2 linked regions of the Notamacropus eugenii genome follow. The protein of the gene in region 1 interacts with the protein of each later gene in a pairwise test. Links are inferred from orthologs where the notes say so. Each region holds a gene or a part of one and is shown on either strand. Other genes may lie near its edges.

Evidence for each region.
Region 2: the proteins of COPG1 (region 1) and COPZ2 interact in a two-hybrid assay, tested with the Homo sapiens proteins (2 studies listed by BioGRID). The link is inferred for Notamacropus eugenii from reciprocal best matches to the Homo sapiens genes COPG1 and COPZ2.

Annotation. Positions count from the first base shown.
Region 1 is NC_092874.1:425,497,263-425,507,475, forward strand, and holds the start of COPG1 (coatomer subunit gamma-1), read left to right. Parts: upstream 1-5,429; 5' UTR 5,430-5,874; coding exon 5,875-5,911; intron 5,912-10,213. UniProt on the Homo sapiens protein: The coatomer is a cytosolic protein complex that binds to dilysine motifs and reversibly associates with Golgi non-clathrin-coated vesicles, which further mediate biosynthetic protein transport from the ER, via the Golgi up to the trans Golgi network.
Region 2 is NC_092873.1:353,147,567-353,158,288, reverse strand, and holds the start of COPZ2 (coatomer subunit zeta-2), read right to left. Parts: upstream 4,350-10,722; 5' UTR 4,224-4,349; coding exon 4,101-4,223; intron 3,096-4,100; coding exon 3,021-3,095; intron 779-3,020; coding exon 697-778; intron 1-696. UniProt on the Homo sapiens protein: The coatomer is a cytosolic protein complex that binds to dilysine motifs and reversibly associates with Golgi non-clathrin-coated vesicles, which further mediate biosynthetic protein transport from the ER, via the Golgi up to the trans Golgi network.

The sequences.
Region 1 (10,213 bases):
CTCCATGGACCGTTGCATGCCAATATTATCCATGGGGTTCTTTTTCTTGGCCCATAAAGTTCTCATTTTGTTTTAGCCAAATATTCCACATTCCTAGCAAACAGGTCTCTCCCTAACAGAGAACATGCTTGCTCAGACAAATGCAATGTTCCCAATTAGAATTTCTTGCCTTGCTCTCCATTGGACAGATGCAGCCTCCTGAACCTCCCACTTCATGTTCTCTTCCCTGATAGGTTCCCATGGCGTTCTTTTAGCAAAGATATTACAATGGTTTGCCATTTCCTTTTCCAGTGGATTAAGACAAATAGAAGTTATGTGACTTGCTCAGGGCCACACAGGTAGTAAATGTCTGAGGTCACATCTGAACTCAGGTCTTCCTGACTCTAGACCCAGTGCTTTATCCACTGAGTCATCTAGACACCTCCAAAAAAGATAAGGAGCTAAGCAAGCACCACCGGGATTCCAAACCAGGATCTTCTGTTTACTAGACAGGAGCTGTAACCAACTAAGCCACAGTGCCACCCAAGCCCATCTACAAGCTCAAATTTGGGAATACAGACCTATATAGATCACTTTACTTCTCTGGGCCTCAGTTTCCTCTTCTGTGTAATAAAAAAGTTTTACTAGATGGACTCTGAGGTCCCTTCTGGCTGTAGCTCTATGATCCTAAAACATGGGGTCTTAATGTGGGGTCTTTGAACTTTAAAAAATTTTGATAACTAATAAAATTACTTGTAATCTCTTGTGCTTTATTTTATGCATTTAAAAACATGATTCTGAGAAGGGGTCCATAGGTTTCACCCCAGGCTTAAACCATCATCCAGCTCAGGTGTAGGTGCAGAAAGGTCAACATATCACAGAAGGGCTAAAACCATCCAAGCAGAGCCCAAGTAAACTCATGATGGCGGAGACGTAGGTATCACCACTGATGCTCACATGTGTGGTTCGTGCTGTGAATATATGCTAATGCATATGTGTCATTTTTTGTATTCTGGTTTTCTTTTTTACTTTTTATGTTTTCTGATTTATGTACTAATGACATGCATTGTACTAATATATTACTGTTGCTAAGGATGCTTACTAACCATATAATTTTACTGTTTTACATTCACATCCTTATATACTAGGTATGTATATTCATGGGTCTTTGTAAGGTATTCTTGTAATATATCCCGCATATAATTTAGGCCTCTAGTCATAAAGTAGTTCTATCAAGTGATAATTTGCATTATGCAGTGCTTACTGCGGGTAATGTTAACATAGCTATGATCTGTAAACAGTACAGTGGAATGCTTTAAGTTGCTGTTCAAGTGTATCAGTAAAACTTTGTGGGGACTATAAAATCTTTTGCTGAGAGGTAGGAATGTAACAAATGTGTAGTTAGGAAGAGCCTTTCTTTGAACTTTTTGGTTTCGGCCCAGAACTACACATTCCACAAATGAACCGGAGAGCTCAGAAGTGTCTAGTACTAAACAGCGAGGAGATGTGGTTAAATGTCAGGGGAAATGGAGTTCTTTAAAAGACTGACTGGACCACGCAGCTGTGGGATTGCCCAGGACAGGGGAACTGGACTCATACCAAGAAACAGTCATACCAGACAACCATGATATCCACGGGGTTGGATTCAACTTGCCTGGTAGAGGGAGTCCCTATCTTCTTCCCTTGGGCTTTTGGGATGGGAGACTGTAGCCACCTGGGTTTCTGGGAAGTCAAATGACATTTCGATAAGTATTTTGAGAGAAGTAAGGTCAACATACCTGCACTGGGATTTTGTAAGAGAGCTCAAGAGTTCTCCTGGTCAGGGATTGGTTGAATTGGAAAGCCTGACGGTAACCTCCCCCACCTGTCCCTTTTTTTCTATTTATCACTGACATTGACAGGAGGAATAAATAATATTGTTCCTTTGCAAGTGGCTTCTATTAATGTTGATTCTCTGGGGTTTTTTGGGACAGCTAGGTGGCACAATGGATAGCTGGGAGTGAGGAAGACTCTTCTTCCTGAGTTCAAATCTGACTTCAAACACTTACTAGATGTGTGACCCTGGGCAAGTCACTTAACCCTGTTTGCCTCCATTTCCTCATGTAAAAAATGAGGTGGAGAAGGAAATGGCAAACCATTTCAACTTCTTTGCCAAAAAATATCCCCAAGAGTCAAACACAACCCAACAACAAATACTGTGTTTATTATCTTTCTATGTCTTGTAGTAAACATACCTAAACTATTATTTGAATCTGTTTTTCTTTTAGTTCACGTGGATTAGGGACTGAGGCAATCAAGATATGAACCATACACCTAAGATATATTTTAGAGATGTTCATGGAATCAAAGTCAAAATTGTAACATTTAGGAAATATTTTATGTGAATGATTCTTTCACATTTTTAAAAGCCTAGAGAGAGCCTAGAAGAATCTGGATCAAGGTTAGGGGGACAGAAGCTTGCCATATATAGCAACCTCAACAACTGTGGTCAGCTATTGAAAACTGTGCTTCCAACATCTCCCTTGAGGAGAGACAGGATAGAAGAGGGAAAGAAACAGGCTCTTATTAAATGGCTACAACGTGCTGGGCAATGTCCTAAGAATTTTACAAATATCTCATCTGCTCCTCACAACAACCAAGGGAAGTAGGTACTATTATTATCTGTATTTTACACTGAGGAAAATGAGACAGAAATTGAATGACTTGTCCAGGGCCACAGAACGAGTAAATTTCTGAGGCTGAATTTGAACTCAAGTCTTACTGAGTCCAGGTCCAGTGGTTTAAAAACTTTGCCACCTAAATGGACCTCTAATATTACTGTTATAGGGAGTTCCTTCTTGCTAAGAAACTTTTCCTTTCAGCATTTATTAGCATTTTTCTGTAACCATTTTAGAGAGTTGCCTTGAGGGATGGGGATAAAACTTCTCACTCTATGAGGAACCTTTCAGGCCTCTTGCTCTATGTGGAATGTCTATCATCTAATTTCCTTATTTTACTAATAAGTAGAGGCTAAAGAAGGTGACTTGTTTAAGGTCACAGAGTAAGTGGGTGAGGTGGGAATAGAACCCAGTCCTCCTGTGCTGTGGTGAGGGATGTTTCCATTCTAATTATGCTGCCCCCACCTAGGAGGGAGCACATTTGTTTGGCATCAAAGAATAAAGAAAAAGCATTGGTCTTTGATTCAGAAGACTGGGATTTGAATGCTGTGATCTTGGACAGGTCACCTAACAAATGAGATAATATTTGTAAAATGCTTAGCATATAGTAGGTTATATATATATATACATATATATGTACATATATGTATATATATATATATATATATAGCTTAATTCTTCTTGGCCTCAATTTACTATTTATAAAAAACAAGGGGGTTATATCTCTCCAGCTCCTGCTTGCTTTCCATTTATGATCTTCCTGTTGTGATTCGTGGCTTTCTGGTCCCAGGTGTGACAGATCCCTGGATGGAAGGGCTAATACGTGGCATAGGAGAATTGCTGGTCTGTGGCTTCCTCTGATTCTGTCCTAAGAGCTCCCTCAGGAGAGAGCAGGGCTCTAGTGACAGACAATGCATCTGCTGTCTATGCTGGCTCATCATAAGAATGTTGGCCATGGAAGGAGAACTATTTTTGGCCATACCAGGTCATGAATATCATCTCGCTTAGGAAGGGAGTACCCACCAGCACTGAAGGAAACATTAATTTTAAAGTAGAAGTTCAATTGAACATTTTATCTTTCACTATTTTTACATCATTCTCTGTTTCATAATGCATCTAAGTCATGTCTCCCCAAAGAGACTGCGGATTCCTTGAGGGGAAAGATAGATACTTTGATTTAATGATGGAACCTAAGATTGGTATACAGTTAACACTCAATATTATAACAATCCATATTTGTATAGCATAGTGCAGTGTACAAAGCATTTTTCTCACTACCCTATGGAGGAGATAGGGAAAAAAATATTAAGTGAATTAAAGAGGAATTTCCACATCCATAGGTCTACTTATGGTGTCTATGCAGGTAACTCATCAAAGCTAAATATTCAGCACCTCCCTCTCTTCTGAATTTCAGTCTTGCATCACCAATAGCCTCTTGGACTTCTGGAACTAGAAGTCTTGGAGATAGCTAAACTCAACATTCAAAAACAAAGCCCATAGTATTCTTTTCCTCTACCCTCAACCCCCTGATTTTTGAAAATTTCCTATTCCTGTCCCAGGTACCACTATCCTTCCTGTCTCCCAAGTTCCTAATCTCAGCACTATCATTAACTCTTTAATTTCCCTCACCCCAAACATCCAGTCGGTTGCCAGATCTTGATGTCTCTTCTTTCACGACTTTTCTCTTATCCAACTTTCTCTCTGCTCATTGAAAAATCCCCCCTATTTCAGGTCCCATCACCTCTCATTTCAGATTATTGCACAGGCCTCCTAACTGGTCTCCCTGACTTCTCTTTCCCCATTCCAGATCACACATCTGCCTATATTACACCTACTCAAAAACTCTAGTGGCTTCCTATGGTCTCTAGGATTAAATGATCCAATAAAAACTCCTCCGTGTGCCTTTCAAAGCCCTTCACAAGCTGGCCCCGACCTCTATTTCTGGCTGCATTATACATTACTGTTCCTCCTAAGCATCTTGGTCCAGTCAAACTGGCTTTATTCTAGATCCTTACACACCAAGCCCTTAATCTCCCATCTCCACGCCTTTGCCTGGAAGGTACTCCTTCCCCACTTCCTCCTCCAGAATGTCCCTTTTCCTTCTGGATGGTTAGCTTTTATCTTGTCTTTCTCCTGTACATCTGCAGACATGTATATAATGTCTCCTCGAACAGAAGCTGAGCTCCTCGGGAGGAGGGACTGTTTGATTTTGTATGGGTTTCACCAGCTCCCACAACAGTGACCAGCATGGGGCAGGTGCTGGATAAATGCTTGCGGAAGGGAACGAGCTGTTCACACGATTAACTTCACACTTGCCAGGCTCGTGGTCACCGAAGACAAAGGTCCCGGAACGTGGAGTCCACGGAGAAGCTCGGGTTCAAAGCCAGACTTTGCTCCTTCTAGTTGGGTGACCTCGGCAAAGCCCCAACTTCTGTTTCGTCGTCTTTAAAAAAAATGGGGGGGAGCGGTGGGCTAAGACTCTTCCTCTTCCTTCAAGCTCCAAAGGACAAGACCCCACGACAGAGGAGATGGATGTCGATGGAGGGAAGCGTCCTACCTGGGCAGGTGGGCCCGCGGCTGCTGAGGAGCCACGCTCCGCCCCGGGCAGGACGGGGTTAATGGAGTAAGCCCTGAACTTGGTCAGTTACAGCTTCCAGCTGGGAGGCCTTCAGGCCATAGTGTGCGCAGGCGCGAGCAGAAGGCGCAGCACTGAGCCCGCCCCACACGCGGCAGGATGTGGTTAAGCGAGAGCGCCTTCTAGTGGTCTATCGAAGCTTCTTCAGCTTTCCGGTCAGTGTGCGCAGGCGCGAGCAGAAGGAGCAGGGTTGAGCCCGCCCCATACAGGGCAGGATGTGGTTAAGCGAGAGCGCCTTCTAGTGGTCTATCGAAGCTTCTTCAGCTTTCCGGTCAGAATGTGCGCAGGCGCTGGCAGAGCGAGCTGTCTCGGGCTCGCAGGAGCTCAGCCTTACAGAACTGAGCCGGACACGACAGGGTTAAGCCGAGAAACGTGTCTGCCGTCCAGGTCAGAAGGCTCGAAGTAGACGGGTCTAGGCGTGCGCAGGCGCTCTGAGAGCGAGGGGGGCGGGGTACGGGAGGATCGCGCAGGCGCGCTACGCAGGGAGACGTGTCCCCCGGACTGGGTGGCCGGAAGTAGCCCGTACGGACTTGGATCTGGCCGGGTCTTGCAGGCGTCTGCCCGGTCCGTCAGTGCTGTCTGTCAGTTCAGCCGGCCCCCAGGATGCTGAAGAAGTTCGACAAGAAGGACGAAGAGTCCGGTGAGGGCCGGGGGGGCGGCTCCGGGACCCCGGGCCTGATGCAAGGCGGAGGGGGACCCCCTCTCCCCATGCCAGCTAACGGGCCGGGCGGGGCGGCCGGGCGGGGCCGCGGGGCCGGCGGGTGGGGGGCGTCCTCACTGCCCGAGGTCAGGGGCCCAAGCTGTTTGGGGAGCACGTCCCTCCTTGTTTAAAGGGAAGGCCTGCCGGGTGCCAGGCCCGAGTGAAAAAGCTGGGCAGACCCTGTCCGCAAAGGGCTTATCTTCTGCTGTGCAGCGTGTCACATACTTACAGGACGTGGGGGGCCGTTGACAGTGGGGGGACAACATGTCAGATAATTACAGGACATGGGGGAACGCTAACAACGCTGGGGGGGAGCAGCATGTCATAATTACAGGACGTGGGGGGCCATTGACAGTGGGGGGACATTAACAACACTGGGGGGGAGCAGCATGTCGTAATTACAGGACGTGGGGGGCCATTGACAGTGGGGGGACATTAACAACACTGGGGGGGAGCAGCATGTCGTAATTACAGGACGTGGGGGCCATTGAAATGGGGGGACATTAACAACACTGGGGGAGCAACATACAGATGTTGGGACTTGGGGGGGACATTAGCAACACTGTACATTCTTAAGGATTTATATTATCTTAGAACCAGCAGCATGTGTACATACAAGTAAATGCAAAATTCATACAAAGTAAATAAATAATCCAGGAGGTGAGGTAAGGGGATACAGTAGCACCTGCAGGGATAGGTAGATAGTGTTATTTGAACCAAGTGTTCAAGAAAGCTGGTTATTCTAAGAGTCAGAAGTGAGGAGGGAACACTTTGCAGATACAGGACAGCTTTTGCCATGACATCAAGATGGACGATGGATTATGTGTGTGCATATTAGTTTGGCTGGAATGAAAGGTGCATGAGGCATGTGATATGTAATAAGTCAGGAAAGGTAAGTTTGGAGTAAGTGTGAAGAGCTTGCAATACCAGCTGAATTTTGTTTTATCCTAAAGGTTATAGGGATTGGAGCTTTTTAAGCAGTGGATTGATCTGGTCAGGCTTTGCTTTAGTAGTGTCACTTTGGTAGCTGTGTGAGGGATGGATTGGGGAAGGGAAGGATTTGAGAGAGGAAGACCATCTAATAATCCAGGCAGAAGGTAATGAGTTCCTGAAGTAATGGTAGATGTGTGAGTGGAGAGGAGATGAATGCAAGAAATGTGGTGGAGGTAAAATTGACATTTGACCATGTTGGATGTGGCAGAGGTGAAAGAGACCTAGTTGAAGTCGCCTCAAAATTTTGAACCTGGGCAAGTAGAATAGTGGCATCCTTGATAAAAGGATAATGTGGGAGGGAGAGTACTTAAGGTACTTCAGCCAGCGTGAGGTACAGAGACTTTTACAGGATAATAGGATTGAGAGGTGGCAGAAATCTTAGAGACTATCTAGCCTAAGCCCCTTGTTTGATAAGTGGGGAAACTTGAAGCCCAGAAAAGATGAGTTTACCCCCAGGCAGCACAGTAGGTACCAGAGTCAGGACTTGAACCTAAATTAATCTCTTCCATTTATTTGTTCATTTATCCATTCATTACATCATTCTGTCTTTCATATTAGTAATTTAACAAAATGTCTACTATGTGCAAAGAGATATCAGTCAGTCACTAGCATTTTTTATGCGCCACCTGTGTGCTAGGCACGAAGATAAATGGAATAGATGCCTTCACAGAACTTATAATCTAATAGTAACCAAAAAGTATTCAGATATAATGCATGTTAAATGATTATAACTGTGTAAGGGGAATGTCAAAGTACTTTGAGATCAGATGAGACCAATCACTTTCAGCTGTCTAGCTTGAGGCAAGAAGGAGATGAAGGGGGAATTCAGGAAAGGCTTCCTGGAGGAGGTGGACTTTAAACTGGGCTTTGCAGAATAGGTAGGATGTCAGATGATGGAAGTAGGTGGAAGAAGACTTCCAAATTTAGAAAGTAATATAAATAAAAGTTCAAGAGTAGAAAAATTCAGGTCAGTTTAGGAAACAATGAACCAGTCTAATTTCACTGGAATGTGGAGTACTTGAGGGAAGGTAGAGTGAAATAAAACTGGAAAAGCAGGGAGGTCCCAGATGGTGGGAGCCTTAAATGCCAACCTGAGAAATTCAGAGACAGTGATATTGTCTAAGAAGTTAAAGTATTCATAAGATTACAGGTTTAGAGCTAAAAAAGACCGAAGGGTCATCTAGTCCAGCCCCTTTTTATTGATGAGGGAATTGGAGACCAGAAACATGCTTTTACTTGCTTGATAATTACTCAGATTGTAAGTACGTAGTAAGAATCAGAACTTGAACTCAGGTCTTCTCCACATCCAGTCCTCTCTCTATTGCATTATGCCATCTTTGTTCCTGTCCTATACTACACAGGGTGCTTACTACTCCTTGGAAGTTAGTTATCAGGAAAGATATAAACCCAGAAGACCAGAAGCCCACCAGGACCTGGGAAAGTTCTGTCTAGTATAAACTTTGGCACCATCCTAGTTAGAGAGAGACAGAGGAAGGGCAGAAGGATATCATAAACTATTCAGCTGTGGATTTGAGAAGCTTTTGATGACATACCAAGAACTCGAGGCAGAAATTGGAGCTGAAGCCTGGAATCCAGAATATACTCCTTAGCAGTAATGTTGGCTTATGTACATGAATGTAGAGAGGGAACAGAAAACCTCAGGAGGGGTCTCCTATGCTTACCCATGGATAGGGTTGCATAATTCACAGATGATCTTAAAAGATCTTCCTGGTTCCCTTACTGCTCAGGTCTCTCATGGAGCCCATCTGTGTACAGCTGAACCTCAGAGTCCTGCTCAAGCCTTTGCAAATGTTTCCCTAGCTGTTGCGTTAGGATTCAAAGACTCATCCCACTCAGGATGTGGATAAAGGTGACACCTAGGAGGATAAGAGTCACTTTTCCCCACTACATTAAGCTAATACTGTGTTAGTTATGAAGCCCTTGGCTTACAGGTTTTCTTGTCTTCTGTCTCTTGTTTTTTCTGAACTGTTTCTATTTCAACAGGCTCAATTCTATACTCTCTCTTGCAATGTTTCCACCAATCTCTGCCCATGTGGTAAAATTTGACTAGATCATTTCATCTTCTTTTGGTGCACTGAAGTTGTTTTCTTTGCATGTTCACTGGCATTGAGTAAAACTGAAGTTTTTTGCGTAGGATCATCTCTTCTTCCAGAGCTAACATTCTCAGGAGACCATTATTAAGTTTTTCTTACTTAACCAGAGGGGGATGATATAGTAAACCTTGAGGAACCCTGTGCATGTTTCTTTTCTTTCTTTTTTAATATTTTATTTTTTCCCAATAATATACATTTTTTATTTAATATTTGTTTTTAAAATTTTGAATTCCAAATTCTTTCCTTCTCCCCTCATCCCATGCTGAGACGGTAAACAATTAGATTTAGATTATACATGTGTAATCATGCAAAACATGTTTCCATACTAATCATGTTGTGAAAGAAAACACAGATCAAAAAAAAAGAGAAAGAAAAATACTACGCTTCAGTCTGTATTCAGACTCCCATCACTTCTTTCTCTGGAGGTGGATAACATTTTTCAGCATGAGTCCTTTGGAGTTGTCTTGCTCAGAAGGGCTGAGTCATTCATAGTTGATCAGAGCACAGTGCTGCTGTTACTATGTACAGCGTTCTCTGGGTTCTGCTCACTTCACATTGTATCACTTTAAGTCTTCCCATTATTTGTCTGAAATCATCCTGTTAGTTATTTCTTATAGCACAATTTTATTCCATTACAATCATATGCCACAGTTTGTTCAGCCATTTCCCAGGTGATGGGCATCTCCTCAATTTCCAATTCTTAGCACCACAAAAAGAGCTGCTGTAAATATTTTTGTACATATAAGGCTGTCTTCCTTCCTTCCTTCCTTCCTTCCTTCCTTCCTTCCTTCCTTCCTTCCTTCCTTCCTTCCTTCTTTTCTTCCTTCCTTCTCTCTCTTTATCTCTCTCTTTCTCTCTCTCTCTCTTTCTCTCTTTTTCTCTGATACACACCTAGTATGGTATTGCTGGGTCAAAGGGTATGCAGTTTTATAGTCATATGGGCAAAATTCTCCAGAATGGTTGGATCAGTTTGCAACTCCACCAACAACGCATTACTGCCCTGGTTTTCCCGCATTCCCCCGTGCATGTTTCTTGAGAGGGCAAGGTTGGATTCATCCTTACTATTTCCCATATGGGCAGTAGTAGCTTTAAGTAGAAACTTAGGAGCAGTTTGCAGCTTTTCTTTGCTGTAAGA
Region 2 (10,722 bases), on another chromosome or scaffold:
TTCCCATTTAATTTCTTATGCTGACCTGTGATATAAGAAACCTTGATGGGGAAAGTCATGATGTGGAAGGGATAACTGTAGTAAGTGTTTAATAAATATTTATTAATTGACTAACCGCACATTTCCCACAACTTCCTTTCTTTTCCTCCTTGAAGCCCAAACATATTTTCCCAGGCTGGGTCAGGGGGGTTTTCATGAAGGCAGGGATACAAGCCTACAGCCTAGAGAGAAGAGTATGAGTGAGGCAATCTACTGTCTAAAGTTTTCAGAGAAAGGAGACCAGGCCTATGGAGAAAAGGGCTAAACATAATTTCTGCCCTCATGGACCTCCAAGTTAGAGGAAGCCAGTAGGGAGGGGAGAATGGAAGCCTAGCACTTAGGGTACCAGGGCAGACCTCCAGATTCGAGTCTGAAGGTAAGAAGACAGCATGGGTGTTGAGTGGGTCGGGAAGGCTTTTCTTAAGAGGGAAGTGGGAGGGATGTAGGAAGACAGGCAGAAGAAAGGAAAGACATGTCAAAGTCGGGGAGCAATCACCCCAAGTAAAAGAAATGGCCTGTATGCAGTCTCAGAGGTGGCAAAGGAGTGAGGAGGAGCCAGGGCCAAATTTTGCCTGGTTGGAGGGCGGAGTTTCGGGCTGGGGAGTGAGGCTGAAGTGGGTTAAATTGGGGGACAACAATGGAAATGCAGTCACTTACTGTCAGCTCTATTAGTCTTGTTGAAGACGTTTTTCTCAAAGGCTTTCTGCTCCTTTATGGAGGGGAATGTATCATCATAATACTAGAGAAAAGGGAGAAGAGATGACCACGTGGTGGGCTGGGGCAGGGGAAGCGGGATGTTCAATCAATGTGGAGCTGCGGGCTGGACTCACAGAGCCACCTCCCAGCAAAGTCCCCAGGTCCCCAGGGTCTGCCTAGAGCAAACACATTCAGCACGGCCCCACCCCACTGACTGCCAATTCCAGACAAAAAGATTATAAAAAGGAAACTATTTGTTTTTTAAGCCTGCTGTCTTCTTTTAGAAACAGCTGGAGGTCAGTCAGCTATCTGGTTTTCTCTTAACAATCCAGCACGTTTGCTTGGTGACCTTAATATGCCAATTAGACTACATCAAGGGAACAATCACCTCACCACTTGTCTCCCCGCTGGTTTTGGTTCAAAAAATAGGTGTGTTAGAGTCCTGAATCATTTAAGGAACTCAACTTCTTCTGCAGAGAATTTGTCTAGAGGCAAATCTCCCCCAAGTTTTCAGGGCCTGTGATAATTACTGGGGCCTCAGATAGAAACGTAGAATGAACATTCCAGCTCTAGAACCTAGAGCCTCCAGACTTGTGTTTGGGGCCCTGCCTCCTACACTTTCCTAGATTCATGACCTTGGGCAAATCACCTCCCCACTTAGTATCCTTATCAGTAAAATGGAGGGGTTGGGCTAGCCGATCTCAAAGGTCCTTTCCAGATCCAATATTTGGTGACTGTGAGCTACTGCTTTAGCTATTGTGGGAGGGGAAGCTATCCAGTCTGGTAATGAGGCACCAGCAGGCTTTTGTACAACTTCCCCTTTGCCTTTTTTCAAGGCAAAGAAATGGTTGGCCTGAGCTTTTGGACCACTATCTGATAGCTTAGTATAATGTGTCTGGGAGGACAAGAAGCTTGGAACACTTGGGATTGGGTATTCAGTTAATGGTCTGGGATGAGGAGAAACCTTGGCCAAAGAGACTAAAGTTCTATTTTTTTTTTAAATCAAAGTCAAAGAGACTTGAGCTCTATTTCCCATTCTATATTGTATGAACTTACAATGTCTTCTCTAGGCCTTAGGTTCACCATTTTTTAACATGGGGATTTGCGTAGTAAGGAACTATAGAAAAATGTGGTATTTACCACATCTGGATAGATCTTTAAATCCTAAACCAGTTCAAAGGACCTGAGTATAAATCCAGTCTCTAACACTTACTAGGTGGGTGCCATGGATGTTATTTCACCTCCTCTGGGGCTTCAGTTTCCACTTCTTTAAAATGATGGGGCTGTACCAGCTGGACCCTTTCATCTCTCAATCCTATGACCCTATGATTTGTTCTCAGCTACAAAGGACTAGGTACAGCTGAGTCTCAATTAACTTCACATCTGACTTATGGATATTCTACAAATACAGTACTGGACCGATGAGCTGCCTCACTTCATCCCCCAGAAAGCTTTGGGAGTATTGTCTGCCTGGGAGTACAAATCTATTTGAATATTACAAAAAGTAAAGCATAATTTTTTAAATATTCAAAAATTCATTCCAAACTCCAGAGTGAACAACTTGGAGGTTATGTACCCTGCTAACTGAGACAACAATGTACATGATTTTTTTTCTAGTTAGACTATGATTCTCCTCCACCAATAAACACATAATGAAGACATGACAGAAATAATATGGCAAGATACATAAAGCACATTAGTAATCAGGAGACCTGGGTTCTAATCCTGCTTTTGCCACTAACTAGCTTTGTGAATTTGGGCAAGTTACCTCCCCTCTCTAGGCCTTTGGTCCCTTGTCTGTCAAATGTAGCAGGATGGACTATGTAATTTCTAAACTGACTTCTAGTTCTGACATTCTGTGATATTACGGCTGTTGGCTAAGTTGAAGATAATGAAGATAGCTTAGTTGCTAGATTTGGGGCAACTGGGACCACTGAGTTTCATTTTTTTTGTGGCATTACGTCTAAATCCCTAGAAGACTGAATATGATGTCCTCTCATTTTCTTAGGATCCATCTGGCCATTGGAAAGGGTGGAGAAAGATAAGGCTCTACTCAAGGAGATGCTCCTTTACCATACTACATGCAACCCAAACTGAAAATCTGAAAGTGGCAGGTGGGTGGACCTCATATCTATTCTGAGATACCATGGAGGAGGCCTAGTGTTTTACACTGGCTTGGAGTCCAGGGGACTCTAATCTTTGGTTTTCTGGGTTGTTATATTCCTAGAGACCTTTCTGATGAGCTGGGGCAGGGGAGGCTATAGGAAAGAGAGATAGGGAGTTACCTTGGCCAGAAGCCGTTGTCCATCATTATCCAGGATGAAAACTGCTTTGACAGTGTAGAGAGATGGTTCCTGCAACTGACCCCAAGCAAAGGAAGAGTAAGCTGGCTGAGGAGGGAAGTGACCATCAGACCTATTCATCCCAGTCACTGAAGAAAGGGAATCATCAGGCTTCACAGGATCCCTTTCATGGAGATCCACAGTGTCTGACTGCTCTGCAGTCTCCTCACTGCCCCAACACTGAAATCCCCACTGACTCCTCTTTTCTGAGGCTGCTGAGTTTCCAGGAAGCTTCTACTCTGCCTCAGAGGCCAAGGCCTGCTGCTGGGTGACCCCTTTCCGTGCAGAAGGTCCACCCAAACCCAAGTTCTGTCATGCACTGACTGCTCCAGAGTCTAAGTCGGAGTGTATCACAGAACCTGGGCTGGGGAGACTCGCGGAGGTCCTTTTCTGACCCCCAGCAGAACCTTCTCCCTACTGATTCCAGAGCTTCAGGATCTGATCCAGGACTGGGATCCACTTTCCCAGAGAGCTTGGGAATGTCAATCAGATGCAGAATCCGACACATCCACATGGTTGGGTCTCGAACTTGGCCAGGAGGATGGGACAGCTTCCCCTTTCCCCACCCCCACCCGTCATCCCTTATCAAATTGGCAGCCTTACTCTTCTCTTTCGCTTTCCTAGAGTTGGCATGCCCACCTGGAACCTCCAGAAAGCAAGAGGCACTCGGAATTTTTCTTAGTACATGTGCACGGTCGAATGTGCCCACACCCTGCACCCCCAATACCGAACCCAAATCGATCTAGAATTCTAGCCAAGCCCAGATCCAGAACCCTCCCCATGAGTTTGGACCAAGAGCTCATAACTTTTTTTCCTCTCGTAGCCCAGAGCCCTTTCCTTACTAGGGCTCAGGACACCACTAGCCCTCCCAGCCCTTCTAGCGCTTTCCGACCCCCGCGCCCCAGCCCGGACGACGGCGGTGGCCGAAAGTTCCTGGAGCTGCGCCCTGGCCGCCGCCGCCCCTAAAGCTGGGGAAGTTGTGAGTTGGTCGCAGCTCCGAACGCTCCCGAGCGCGCAGCGTACCCGCAGCCCCGGGGGCTCCGTGGCCCCAGCGCCCTGCGCCGTTCCACCCCGGGCTGCCGCCGCCACCTCCGCGGCGGCCCCCTCCCCTGGGTGCGGACGTGGCCAGGCCTCGGGCCGCTGCATTCCGCTCAGCTCCGCACTGACAGCACCGCCCGGCTCCGGCCCCGCCTCCGCCGCCCTCCCCCGCGGGGCTGGCCCGGCCCGTCCTGGCCCGCGGAGCGCGAAGCGCAGAGCGCTGAGCGCAGAAAGGAGAGGTCGGAGTGGAGCAGCCCCCCGAGGGAGGGGACTGCCCGCGATGCAGGGCTGGGAGGGAGGAGGGAGGCCGGCAGAGCCTCGCTTCGTCCTCTGGTCTCGTCACCTCTCTCTCTCTCTCTCTCTCTCTCTCTCTCTCTCTCTCTCTCTCTCTCTCTCTCTCTCTCTCTCTCTCTCTCTCTCTCTCTCTCTCTCTCTCTCTCGCTCTCTCTCGCTCTCTCTCGCTCTCTCTCGCTCTCTCTCTCGCTCTCTCTCGCTCTCTCTCTCGCTCGCTCTCTCTGTCTCTCTCAATCTCCTTTTCATTCCCTGTTTTTCTCTTTCCTCCCTTTTCTCTCTTCTCCTTTCTCCCTTTTTTTTCTCACTTCCCTTTTCCCCCCCTCTTCTCTCTCTGCTGGACTGGGAGTCAGGAAGATCTGAGTTCAAATGTGATCTCAGACGCTTAACTAGTTATTTGACTCTAGATTAGTGAGTTCAGCTGTCTGCTTCAGTTTTCTCGACTGTAAGTGAAGATAATAACATGACCAACTTCCCAGGATTGTCATGAGGACCAAATGAGATGACATTTGTAAAGCATTTAGCACAGTATATGTCTAGCCCATGTAAGGCACTTAATGAATGTTGGCTTCCTTTCTTCTATTCCTCTCTTTTCCTTTCTCTTTTCCCTCCTCACTTTTCCTTTTCTTCTCTCCTTTGTTCTCTTAAGTCACTTTCAGTTTTCTTCTCCCTTTCTTGTGTTTCTTTTCTCATTCCTGTATTTTTTTTCCTTCTTCTCTTCCCTTTTCAAATTCCTTTAAACTCCCCAATCTCTCTTCCCTCTGGCCTACTCTCTTCTACTTTGCCTAACTCTCCTTCCACTTTCATCCCTTTTTACCCTTACCTGCACTTCCCCCTCAGAGCTTTCTCATTCCTGTGTTTCACCTGTCTCCACCACATACGCACACACATGCACACATGCACGCACGCAGGCATAACACATATATACAATCAATCAATAAATATTTATTAAGCTCCTATTATGTACTGGGCATCGTGCTGAGCCCTGAGGGACACAAAAAGAGGCAAAAGACAGTTCAGTCCTCTTACAATCTAATGGGGGAGACCATATGCAAACAAATATATGCATAATACAAACTATATACAGGATAAATAGGAAATAATTAACACAATGAAGACATTAGAATGAAGAGGGATCAGGGAAGGCTTCCAGTAAAAGATGAGATTTTAGTTGGAATTTAAAGGAAGCCAGCAGAGGAGGAAGAGCGATCCAGGCATGGGGAACTGCCAGAGAAAATGCCCTGAGCTGAGAGATAGAGTGTCTTGTTTATGAAATAGGCAGGGGGCCAGTGTCATTGGATCAAAGAGCACTCATTGGAGACTAAGAAATCAGAAGACTGGAAGGGGATAAGTTATAAAGGACTTTGAATGCCAAATGGGACATTTTATATTTGCTCCTAGAGGCAATAGGGAGCCGCTGGAGTTTATTGAGTAGCAGTATAGCATGATTGGTAAAGTCACTTTAAGTGGCTGAACGGAGGATGGATTGGTGTGGGGGAAAATCTTAAGGCAGGCAGACCCACCACATGCTATTGCAATAATCCAGGTGTTTGGTGATGAGGACCTGTACTAGAAAGGTGGAAGTATCAAAGGAGAAAAGGGGAGGTATTCAAGAGACGTTGCAAAGGCAACATTGGCAGACTTTGGCAAAACCTTGGATATATATAGAGAGAGATCCAGAGTGATTCCTAGGTTGCCAGTCTTATGGACTGGGAGGATGGCATTGCCTTGGACAGTATTAGGGAAAGGGTGGGGTGTGGTTTAGGGAGAAAGATCATGAATTCTGTTTTGGACACACAGAGTTGAAGACGTCTGAATGGTAGTTGGAGGTCAGAAGAGTTTAGGGCAGAATAGGTAGATTTAAAGACCATCAATATAGAGATGTTAATTGCATCCATGGGAGCTGATGAAATAGAAAGTACAGAGGGAGAAGAGAAGAGGGCCCAGGACAGAACCCTGAGGGACACTTACAGTTAAAGGGCATGATCTGTAAGAGCATCCAGCAAAGGAGACAGAAGAGAAGCAACCAGATAGGAAGGAGGAGAACGGGGAGAGAGTGGCATCCTGACAACCTAGAGAGAAGAGAGTATCAAGGAGGAAACAGTGATCAACAGTGGCAAAGAGAGGTCAAATGCAGAGAAGTCAAGGGGACAGGAGATGGAGGACTGAGAGAAGACCACTGAATTTGGCAACTAAGAGGTCACTAGTAATTTTGGAGGAGCAGTTTCAGTGGAAAGATAAAGTCAGAAGCCAGATTGTAAAGGGTTACGAAGACCATGAGAGGAGAGGAAGCGGAGGCACCTAGTATAGATTGCTTTCTCGAGGCATTTAGCTACAAAGAGAAGACATATAGGAAGACAGAGGGGATGGAAGGACAAAGTGAGGGGTTTTTTGTTCAGGATGAGGGGCACACGAACATGTTTATAGGCAGTAGGGAAGGAACCAGTAGACAAGGAGAGATTGAAAATAAGTGAAAGAGTAGGGATGACAGAGGGAGCAATCTGTTGGAGGAGATAGGATGGAATGGGATCACTTGAACAAGTAGAGGAGTTGGCCTTGGTAAGGAGTGAGGCCACTTTATCATATAAAACAGGAGAAGGAGGAGATGATAATCAAGTCATCTGAGTGATAGGGGAAGCCTAAGAACGGAAAAGAAAAAGCTCATAGCAAATTGTCCTCCATTTTTTCTCATTCACACACTCTTATTTGTTCTTCTGGGTTTCTGATTCCCACCGGGGACTTACAGAGAGCAGTGGGCAGAGCCCATATTTTTGGTCTAGTATCAAGAGTCCAGAAACATGAACTGTCTCTTCTCATATTACCAATATCTTACTCAAAATCCAGAAGAGACTAGTAATCAAAAAACCCAGAAATGATAAAATTAAATAGGGAACAACTTTATTTGTATATATATATAACATATATATACATATATATAAATGTTCATTTTATTTTTAATGTTCTACAATCACTACTATAAAACTTGGATTTTCCCCCCCCTACCTAACCCCCACCACCCCCTCCCTCCCCAATACAGCATACAATTCTATGTAGGATCTACACATACATTGCTGTTGAAGACATTGGGAACAACTTTTGGAGCAATCTTTTGAAAACCTTGTAAACACTTCCCATCACAGATTTAGACCTAGAATCATAGAAATCAAAGGGATCCTCAAGTTTAGTCCAGCCCTCTTAGTCAGCTCAATTGTTTGTATTGTATAGCAGTAGAGGGGAACAGTGGCCCCCTTAAACCAAAAATAGAGACACCTCAACTCTCTGAAATAATGGAGATTTATATTGGTATGAATTTTTTCTTTTGGTCTGGATCTATAATTTAATTATTAAGGAATCCCAGTATATAATGCTGGCATTAGGGAATATCTACAATTCATTTGTACCTTGGATTCTTTTGTATATACACACACACATGCATAAATACATATATATGTATGTATGTTTTTGTTTATATTATAATCATTTTCAGCTGTACTCTTACTTTACCCCTTAACCCCTGAGAGCCTTTGCTTCTAACAACAACCAAAAAGTTAAGCAAGGTCAAACAACACCATAATCCAGTGTGACTACATGTACAACATTCCATACCCATAGTTTTCCACCTCTGTTACAAAAGAAGGGTGGTTGTTTTTATTGTTCGGTCACGTCCTACTTTTTGTGACCCCATTCAGGGTTTTCTTGGCAAAGATACTAGAGTGGTTTTCCATTTCCTTCTCCAGCTCATTTTACAGAGGAGGAAACTGAGGCCAACAGAGTTAAGTGACTTGCTCAGGTTCACAGAGCTAGTAAGTGTCTGAGGCTGGATTTGAACTCAGGAAGATGAGTTCTCTCATCTACTCTATCCACTCAGCCAGAAGGGTTCTATTTTTCCTCATCTTGTCTTCAGGCCCATGATTGATCATAGTTGTTACTCAGTGTACAGATTCATATAACATATTCTTGGAGAGTTGCCTAGGATACTGAGAGGTTAAATGACCTGCCCATAATCATGTAGCTTGTATATGTCAAGGGCAGGATCTGAGCTCATGTTTTCCTTGAGTTGTCAAATCAAAAATCATTTATTAAGCAATACTAAGTGCCTGACCTGTGGTAGAGCCTTCTGTGTACAAATTGGTCTGATCAGCCACAGTCAGACTCACTGTACCTTGACCTCAACATAATGGTGTCATTTGGGTTCTTTCTGAGAACAAAGAACAACCAACAAATCAACCACATAAGTGAATGAGTGAGTCACGTGAGATAATTTTTTTACAATAATACCTATCCTTAAAGAACTAACAATTGAATGGAGGAGACAAGAAGATATATAGACATAGGTATCCATGTCTATATCTTTCTACATATCTATATGAGAGAGAGGAGAGGAGAGGAGAGAGAAAGAAGGAGAGAGAAGGAAAGGAACAGTGAAGAGAGAAAGAGAGATACAGAGAAATGGAGAAAGAACATTTAAGGGAATATCAGAGGGAGGGTCCTAACAGTTGAGAATGGGGAGGAAGACAGTGAAAGGCCTTTTGCAGAGCTGTCTTGAAGGAAGCCAGGAAAGCCAAGAACCTGAGACAAAAGAGAGAGGGCATTCCTGGCACGGAGGAGAGACAAAAAAGAACAGAGCTGAGAAACTGAGGGTAGTATTTGAGGGATAAGAAGGCCAGTGCTGCTGGATCACGGAGTACTCAGAGGGGAGTTAAAGTAAAAGAAACTGGAAAGATAAGAAGAGATAAGGTTGTGAAGGATTTTAAAAACCAAACAGCATTTTATGTGTAACTCCAGTCCCTAAACCCATCGATGGATGGAGATCAATGTCCTCTGTCTCTATAAAGGAGGGGGGAGATAGAGGGAGGAAGGATGTGTGTGAGTTGGCCAGAGTGTAAGGGGAGATCTCTTTAGTTTTAATTTGGATCTTCTTTGAGTCCTTTTGGGTGTTTCTGGCTTCCATCTTTGAGAGGGAATATGGAAGAGGCCAAGCCCACTTCAAGTTGCTGATGGAAAAGAATCTGGAAAGACACAAGAGGATCTGACAGTCTCCATTGGGTCCCTATTCCCAGCTTCCTGTTATAATGTTGCTCTTTGTCCTTTGTTTTCTAAGAGGACCGATGACATCCCAGGGTGATGTCTTGAATTGCAGGTGAATTGGGTTTAATTGAGGCAGTTGCACAAAGTCATCAGATTAATTTTTTTCCTAAATCATCAAAAGCCAGTGGTAGGACAAAAGTCAACATGACTGGCAATGGCCCTGGATGTGGTAGATAACCTTGGTGTCTCAGATGCCTAAGCAAGCTCTAAGAGCTCCACAGCAACTGCTTCAACTGTCTTCATGGTCATTGGAACAAATTGTTCTCATCCACCCATTCTGTCCCAGAATCTACCCCAAATGTCTTCACATGTATGGGGTAGATAGCCCCCTAGTTTACCAATGAGTTTGAGACCCCTCAGTTACCCTCAATCTGCTTTTCATACTAGGGTGAGGCTGCTGTGCAAGCTGAAGTCTTGTAGCCACAGGTGAGAGTTGGGTGAATCAGGAAGACATCAAAGCTGGATGAGAATCCCTGAAAAAGGACTGAGCAAGTCTTCATACCTGAGGTGCTAGTCCTCTTTGAGTACTCCATACACCCCAGCTTGCTACTCTAGAGACTTTGGGGAATTTCCCCTTCAGTAAGATCTAGAACTCTCTCTTGGTTGATCCCAGTGGGAAAGCTCCTTCACTCACTATTGCCTGGTATATACTCTCCTATGTATACTTTCTCTGATTTTTGCTTTGCTACCAATTTAGATAAATGAGTTTTCTTTGATGATTGCTATGTGTATTCATTATAGAACTGGTATTTGGGGGAAAAGGGGTCAAGATTCAGATGTAGTGGTTGGGAGTCCTCCTGCCCCCTAACATTGACATAATAATCAGAAGTTAGCTTGAACCTGAAAACCTCATCTTCTATACTAATAATATTTAAGAAAGTGTAAATATGTATAATAATATTATGCTATATAATTACATATTATTATATTATGTGTAATAATATATATAATAAATATAAATCTATCTCTAGCTAGCTAAATATCTAAATTCTAGCCCAGTACCCTCTCTCTCTGAGGACAGCAGAGTAGCCAAGCTTCTGACCCCTGCTTCCTCTCCTGGTAGGAATTAAGGTCTCTCTTGGAGAAGGATAGGGGGGACAAGATACTATAGTTATCTGCTTTGGCTTTCTTCAGTCCTTACAAAGATGCCCCCATGCTACATGCTGGGCACAGGCCCTCATTGCAACACATAAGGTCTAAACACATATATTTGAACCTGGAAGTAATG